Linked DNA regions of Drosophila melanogaster. The protein of the gene in region 1 interacts with the protein of each later gene in a pairwise test. Each region holds a gene or a part of one and is shown on either strand. Other genes may lie near its edges.

Evidence for each region.
Region 2: the proteins of brk (region 1) and hale interact in a two-hybrid assay, tested with the Drosophila melanogaster proteins (2 studies listed by BioGRID).

The regions. Positions count from the first base shown.
Region 1 is NC_004354.4:7,306,157-7,310,077, reverse strand, and holds the start of brk (brinker), read right to left. Parts: upstream 2,140-3,921; 5' UTR 1,606-2,139; coding exon 1-1,605.
Region 2 is NT_037436.4:19,983,964-19,987,884, reverse strand, and holds hale (hale-bopp), read left to right. Parts: upstream 1-2,016; 5' UTR 2,017-2,109; coding exon 2,110-2,330; intron 2,331-2,389; coding exon 2,390-3,389; 3' UTR 3,390-3,459; downstream 3,460-3,921. Other genes in the region: schuy (schumacher-levy), read right to left, coding at 1-1,102, 1,166-1,721; CG17732 (uncharacterized protein), read right to left, coding at 3,694-3,921.

The DNA.
Region 1 (3,921 bases):
GGGTTCCCTTTGTTCGTTGATTGCCGATGGCTTTTTCTTGAGGCGACGCTGTTTCTTGTCGGCCGCCTCCTTGGAGTCCACCTCATCATCGTCGGCATAGCGGGACTCTTCCTCGTCGTCCTGCTCCTCCTCGGCAGCTCCCTCATCCAAATCCTCCTGCCGATGGTGATGGTGATGATGATGATGATCCTGCTCCTCATCATCGTCCAGCAAATAGGGCTTAAATAGCTTGACCTGTTTAGAGGGCAGCTTGTGCTCCTCCGGCTGCTCCGTCTCCACGTCCACCTCCACATCCTCGTTCTCCGTTTCCGTTTCGGGCTCCTTCTTGATCACCTCCTCCAGCTTACTAATCTTATCCGGCTGCATCGGACTAGTGATGACCTTACGTTTGCGGAAAGTGAGATCCACACCAGATGGATCCTTTTCGTGCAACTGCATTTGACGGCGGGCAGAGGATCCGAGAGAGAGGTCCATGGGGGCTGGTGTGGCAACCGCCTCCAGTCGATTCTCCAAATAGCCATGCAGATTGTGATGGTAGGCAAAGGGCACATGTGGAATGTGACTGGCTGACGATGTGGACCCAGGGGATCCGCTCAGGATTGGCACTTGTATTGGCACTTGGTTGCTGTTGCAGCTATTGCTGCTGCTGCTGCTGTTGTGGCAACTACTGTTATTGCTGCTCGGCAATGTGTTGCTGCTGCTGCTGCTGCTGGCGGGGATTGTTGCTGTCGGTGTGGGATTGCCATTGCTGGTGGCCATGGCGGCGGCAACAACAGCGGCTATTTTGGCCGCCGAAAGGACATTCGAGGATCCCTGATTGCTGCCATTGGTAGCAATGGTTGCAGGTGTCTCCTGCTGTGACTGCTGCTGATCCTGTTGCTGCTGCTCCTGCTGCAACTGCTGCTGCTGCTGCTGTTGCTCCTTCTGATGCTGCATTTGAGGATGCATTGCCACCGGGACATGCAAGTGGGGATGGGCGGCCAGGGGGTGTGGAACCATGCCATTGGCTGCCAGCAAATGGTGGGCGGCATGATGGTGGGCTGCTGCTGCTGCTGCTGCCGCTGCTGCTGCCGCCGCTGCTGCTGCAGCGTGATGATGATGGGCGGCATGATGGTGGGCGGCATGATGATGATGATGACCCACCGCGGCGGCGTGATGGTGATGCAACTGGTGCACCAGCGGATGGCTCAGCTGATGGAACACCTTGACCGCCGGTGTCGGCGATACCGATTGCTGTGGGAGTAGTTGCTGCTGCTGCTGTTGTTGCTGCTGTTGCTGTTGCTGCTGCTGCTGCTGTTGCTGATTGTTGGCCACCGATGATCGCAAATTTGACTCGCATTGCAACCATTTTTGGATTTGCCGGCGGTGAATGTTGTATTTCCTGGCCGTGGCCCGTTGATTGCCCTTGCAATCATTATCATTCCTGTATGATTCGAGGACTTGCAGCTTAAAGTGGGGCGTGAAAATCCGACGACTTCCCATTTTGGGGCTGCCCGAAGAATTGCCATTATTTGTGTGGCTGTTTGTGGCATTCTCCGAAGAATCCTTGGGCCGCTTGAAATTCAAAGCTCCCGATCCGTTCAACTGTTCGCTGCTGCTATCCATGATTATGGTTTATTTTCGTGGCGTTCTTTAAAGATTGTTTTTATTTTCCCAAGATTCTGGTCAGTTTTGTGTGTATTTTTGTTGATTTTAATGTAGCGAAATAATAGTCAAACAAGTGTGTTTTGCAGTAGTAGTAGGTAGTAAGTTTTAGGTGCTTTTGTTGTAGCTGTTGTTGCTACTTGCGTGCGACGCTTGCGCTTTCATAACTCGCGATCTGGCAGCTCTGTCCCCAAAGCAGCGACGTCGACTGCGACGCGTCTCACATACACACACTGGCACACACTCGCTCTGATACTTTTTGGAGTTTATTTGAAAGCACTTTTCAAAATCCGTTTCAAATCTATATAGTTGTGTATATTTCGATTGGTATAGATCGGATAAATAAAACACAGTTAAAAAAAATATATGTCTGCGTGCTGTTGCTTCTTCTGCTCTTTTCCTTTTCTTGTTAGCTACTTCTCGTACGTTTTACTACGCTCTTCTCATAACTCGCGTTTGCGATCCGCACGGCAAGGAATCCAAAACACAATTGTTCTGCCCTCGGCGTTCTAGTTCGAAGATACGTTCTAGACTGCCTCGCCTCGGCCGGCGTCGCTGCCGGCGCCGCCGTCGACTGCGGTTCACTCTGAAATGCTCACGCACACAGGCGTAAAGTGCCTGCCTGTCTGCTGTGCGCTGCTGTTGTTGTTGCTGCTGTTCGTGTGGGTGTTCGTGTGCGTGCAGCAGTGGGAGAGAGAGTGAGAGGGGGAGCTAGAGAGCGAGCAACAGAGAGAGAGCGCATGGCGCTGAAGCTGAGCATTGCAGACAAACTGACGACAATCGTGTCGCGAGGTGTCTGCGCTTGCATGTGTGCGTGCTTGGAGTGCAAGTGCGAGCGGGATGCCATAATACCAGTTCCCTTTTGCGGCGCTTTTGTTGCTGCTGTGCCGTGCTGTGCTGAGTTGTGTGCACGGTGGGACCGAATGGACAACATGGGACGGAGCAACCCATTCCCCCGTCCCTGTGCGCCACAGTCTTTGTCCACTCTTTTCGATTGCCACAGTCACCCGACTGACTGACTAACTGACAAACACCGCGAACCGCACAGTGGGACCAATTCGTATGGCTTTTTTTTATATAAAAAATAAAAAAAATATTATATGATACCTAAAAACATGGAATAGAACAAATCAAAAGATAACATTTTTAACAGCGAGATAATATAACACATTTTCTTCTTCTTTAATAATTAAAAAACCCTTTATCAATTTATAGGCCATCGAGTCAATAAGTGAAACGCGTTTCAAATTCTTCTATCTCTAAAACATTGTTAGCTATCTGCCAACAACAGATTATTGTTTTAAACATAAACCCAAAGTCGACAAATGTTCGCACTACTTGGAAACCATTTTTAAATTCTGTTTACAAAAATTAGTTTTTTACATGTATTAGTAGGCCCACACTTAACCCTTTGCTGGCAGCTTTTTGTGCCACTGTGTCGCAGCACAGTTTGTTAGCGGCTGCGGTTGCTGTTGCCGTGTTGCGTTGTGTTGTTGTTTCTGGCTGCGCTACAAATTCGCTGGCTCTGCCAGTTGCTCATACAGATACACACACGCACACACACGTGTGCAAAAGGCACCTTTGAATGGTGTGCGTGTGTGCGCCAGAGTCGTGGCTGCCAGACATTCTGGCACTGCCACTCCACACGCCGCCCTCCCCCATACCCCTTCCACATCGGCCAGAGCCCCCCACCCCTTTTGACCCACACCCCTGTGCCCACGTCCCCCGTCAGCATACACACACACATCCGTAGAAACCGCGCAACAGATCGTCGAACGAACTTGTTGAGCGCCGCTCTCTCGCCAACCAAACCGCCCGCTCTCTCTCTTCCTTTTGCTCTCTCTTGAATCAACTGTTGAATGCATTGCTGCATTTTTTATATTTTTACACACACATAGAGCCAGACGAACACAGAGGTTTCCAACTATCTTGGTTTTTTTTTTACTCGTTGTTATGGCCGTGGGTGCATATATACCATATAGCTTTAGCTTATTTCTGTCGACGTTGCCGCCGTTCTGTCTAAGCTTAGAAAAATTGAAAAAATAAAACAATGCAACGAAAAAGAACTAAAAGGGCATGCAATAAGTGCAGCAACAATATGTGTACAAGAGAACCTCTCCGCACTTGTTGCAAATGACAAACCGAAATGCTGCCTCTGCTTCGTTACCAGCTTACTCTGCTTCTTCTGTTCTCCTGCCTCGGCAAAATCTGGATTCATGAATGAAACACACACACACACTGCCGCAGACACCTCGCTCTCTTTCGCTATTTGCATGC
Region 2 (3,921 bases), on another chromosome or scaffold:
CTGCCAAACCGAGCGACACACAGGGAGGTTGGGCTGGATGGATTGGTCCTCGCAAATGATGCACCACCCATGGATCGGGGTAATGGCGACTTCTTGCTGCCGGCTTGATCGTCTTGGGTGGCCTTGGCATCCTTGACATCCTGGGGTTTCTCCTGAACCTGGGCCTTCTTGTTAAATATGGGCTTTATACCATCCTGATTGTGGGATCTTTCGCTGGACTTTAGTGACTTTTCCTTGGATGGGTAGAAGCTGCTGCGTCGCTGGCTTGGTTTCAAGGGGCAGCAGACACTTTGGGCTTGTTGCTGCTGCTGCTGTGATTGGAACACCTGTTGGTTGTTGAAGGGTCCCAGGCAGTGGCAACAAGGATGGGGGTGCGTCCTGCACTGGGAACACTGGTTGCACAAGGATTGGCACGAGCAACAGGGATAAAATCCTCCAGAAATCGGAATATTCGGCTGCTGCTGCAGCGCACAAGTGGAGGTTCCGAGAACTGGGTGCATCATGTGCTGGCTGATCTGACCACCTAATCCCATAGAAGGATGTGATTCCATGCTCGACAAAGGACAGCAGGATGTACCACCGTTGTAGCAGCCGTTTGCAAAACTCTCCGGCTTCAACATGCAGCAGTTGCTTCCGTTGGCTGGACATTGATACTGATTGCCCATCTGCATTGGGCAGACTTGACTCGTCCTCGACGGACAGCAATTGCTGCACGTGCAGCAGGAGCAGCTGGACATGCTGCTCGGCGTGGCGCACAGGAACTGCTGGCCAGGATACATGACAGGACAACCCGATGTTGCCGTCCCCGGCTGATTCATGTGCATAAAACTGATGGTCACATATGGCGAGTTGTTGGTCGGTTGAACTCGCACGTTCGGGTGTTGCTGCAGCGTCAAATGCTGCTGCATATGTTGCTGCTGCTGCTGCAGCACATTCTGCTGCATGTTCTGATGTTGCAGCAAGGACATTTGCTGTTGATGCTGCTCATTCAGCGACGGTTGTCGCTGTTGTTGCTGTTGCTCCCGATTTAATTTTAAAAGTTTTTGTCGGACCTGGGCTGCAGTTTGAAGGGATAACTTCCGAGCGGCTTGTACAGTGTTACCTGGGGAATAAAGAGGGAGGAAGGAACATAAATATAGAAGCAATCTAAAATGAATAATATAACCTTTCTGGTTGCTATTGCTGGTGGTTGGATACTGCGGAAAGGCTTTGTCCGTCTGGGATCCTGCATTAGAAATGGCGTAGGAACGCGAGGTCTGCTGCGTCTGACACTTGCCGGTTTGGTCTTCCTTCGACTGTTCTATGTCCTGTTGAATCCGATTCCTAGCCAAAGCATCCTCGAGAACCACGAACGAAGGTCTATTCGCCAGATCCTTGTTGCAGATCTTAACGAAAGGCGGCAAAGTTTCGGTTTTCTTGATCTCCTCTATGGACTTGTCATTCTTGCTCTTCTCCAGCTTTTCAGTTGAGTCATCATCGATGTCATTTGAATTCCCTTTGAGCACAGCTATGCACTCTTTCTTGGTTTCCTTAGTGCCATTCGTCAGTGGGGAGTTACTACTGTCTGCTCCGCTTTGGGGATTCTTGCATTCCTGATTAAGTGAGCTAATTTCGATGAGACCATCAGTGCCCACGGTAATCATGAAACAGCATTTGGCCACCGTTTCGTCATTTGATTTGGCCAATTGCCCTGATGATTCATTCTCGCCTGGGGCCTCCATTTTCCTGAATTTTGATGTGTTTTCCGGGTGTTGTGAGTTGATGTTTCCTAACGCATATCAAAAAGTATATCAGGCGACAAATGTACTGTCAACTTTGAAATGCTCATCGAAACTGGATTTCCCTTACTGTGTAAGTAGTGACCAAAACGTTCTTGGTGTTTAAGATTTTAGAACCATATTAATATTAATAAGATAAAATTATTTAAAAACTTGAAACAGTATTTATTTCTTAAAATAATTCAAATTATATACTAGAGAAGCAAGTCTGGTATCAATCAGTATGTCTCAGCTTTATGATGTCAAACATTTCTACACCTTTTGTGCTTTAACATGTACACAAAATTGTCATATCCGTGAGTTGGCCTCTCCGGGTGGTGAAGAGTTGAAGATGTTCTGCACGGAGAGCTGTGAGCACGGATGCAATGCAACCTCGTCGGGCAAGCTGATCGCCAATGGAAACGGTGGCGGCCTGCAGTCGCAGGGAAATTCACAGCATCAGTTCACCATGTCCTACGCTCCACTGTCGACCAACGATGTGCCCTCCAAGTCCGAGGTGGAACCACCGCGACTGGGCATGTGCCTGGTCACCGAGTGTCCAGAGGGTCTGAGGTAATTTATACATGAATTTCCATGAAAAGTGATTCGATTTCTACTCCCTTCCTCTCCAGCATTGACTGCAATGTGCCACTGCCGAATTCTTTCAATTTGGATGAATACAAAAATCACATGATCTGCTCGAGCTGTACCCAGTTCAATGGTGGCTTGGACAGATTTGGCCAGCCAGGTACAGCCGGTCCAAGTGCCAGTCCTAGTGCCAATCCATATCCAACTCCGATGCCCAATCCCATCCAGGCCTCTCCTTGCAGCTTTCATGGCCAGTGTTGTTCAGCCGGTGGACCATGCGCTGGATATGATTCGCAGCCAAATCCATCAAGATGCTATCGACAGGAATCATCGTTGGCTCAAGGAGCCCCAGCGATGCCGCAGATCTTTTGCCTGGCACCACCCAGTTCCCATGGTGGCTTAAATCAGCCCGTTTACTTGTGCAGCCTGATTCCAGTTCCGCCATCGTGGAACCTGGTGCCGCTGGCCCAACCGCAGCACTTGACGCATCAGCAGCTGCTGACGAATCCCGCACAGGACTCGCAGCTGCCGTTGCAGCAATTGGTGCAGTACGACCTGTCCTTCAATCGCCTGCTGGCCGAATTGCGCAAGGAACGGGAGAGGTCCTGTTGTGACCTGCAGATCCCCCAGCCTCTGGCTTTCCAGCTGTATGCGCCCACGGTTAGGTTTCTAGATCAGCCAGATTCCAGTTCGGCGAAGAGAGAGCCTCATTGCCCGCCGGCAGCTCCTTGTGCTCCTCCAGCTGCACCACCACAACCACCATCCTCGTCATCATCCCCAACAGCCACATCTGCCTCCGCCGCCGGGCTGCCAAGAGCTCGTTCGGCCAGCCCGAAGCGCAGTCGTTCGTGTCTCCGGAACAAGGATCTCTGGGACAGTGGCGGATCCGTACCAGGTCCATCCCCCTGCTCCTCGCCCACCCAACATGCGACCGGAAATGTGTGCATGAAGTGCGGAAACTGCTGGCATTGTCCGCGCTGCAACTGCTCCAACTGCTTCTGGCATCCCGGCTTGGTGCGAGCTCCTCCAAGAGATGGTCGCTAGGGAAGGGGACTAAGAGCCACTCCTACACTGTAAAAGAAGAAAGTGTAATAAAATTCCAAGACTTTTAAGCAAGCAGCTTGCCACTATTTCTTAATTGAATTCAATAATAAGAATATTTATTCTTGCAATATGAAGAGAGAGTCACTTTTAAGGTTTTTTTTTCGTTTATTAGTTTGTAATATTTAAACCCTATTTATAAATATTTTATGATACATAAAAAATGAATTCTTTCACAATTTCTACAGCAGCTAGGACTTATATCACAAGTAATGTTCGTTAAACAATGAACTGTAATTAAAAGTAATTATCGATCAGCCTGCATGTTCATAAAGCTAGCCACGTAGTTGGACATGACCGAGTTTATTCCGAAATGGTCGTTTCTGGGCTCAAGGGGTTGGGATTGCAAATTCCGGTGGCCGGGCAAGATCAGCGAAGCTGGCGGCAAGGGAGTTCTTATTTGGCAAGGATACGGATCCGTTCCCAGCTCAGAAATCCTTGTGCGACAACGCCTCACTTTCCGGGCAGAGGGACT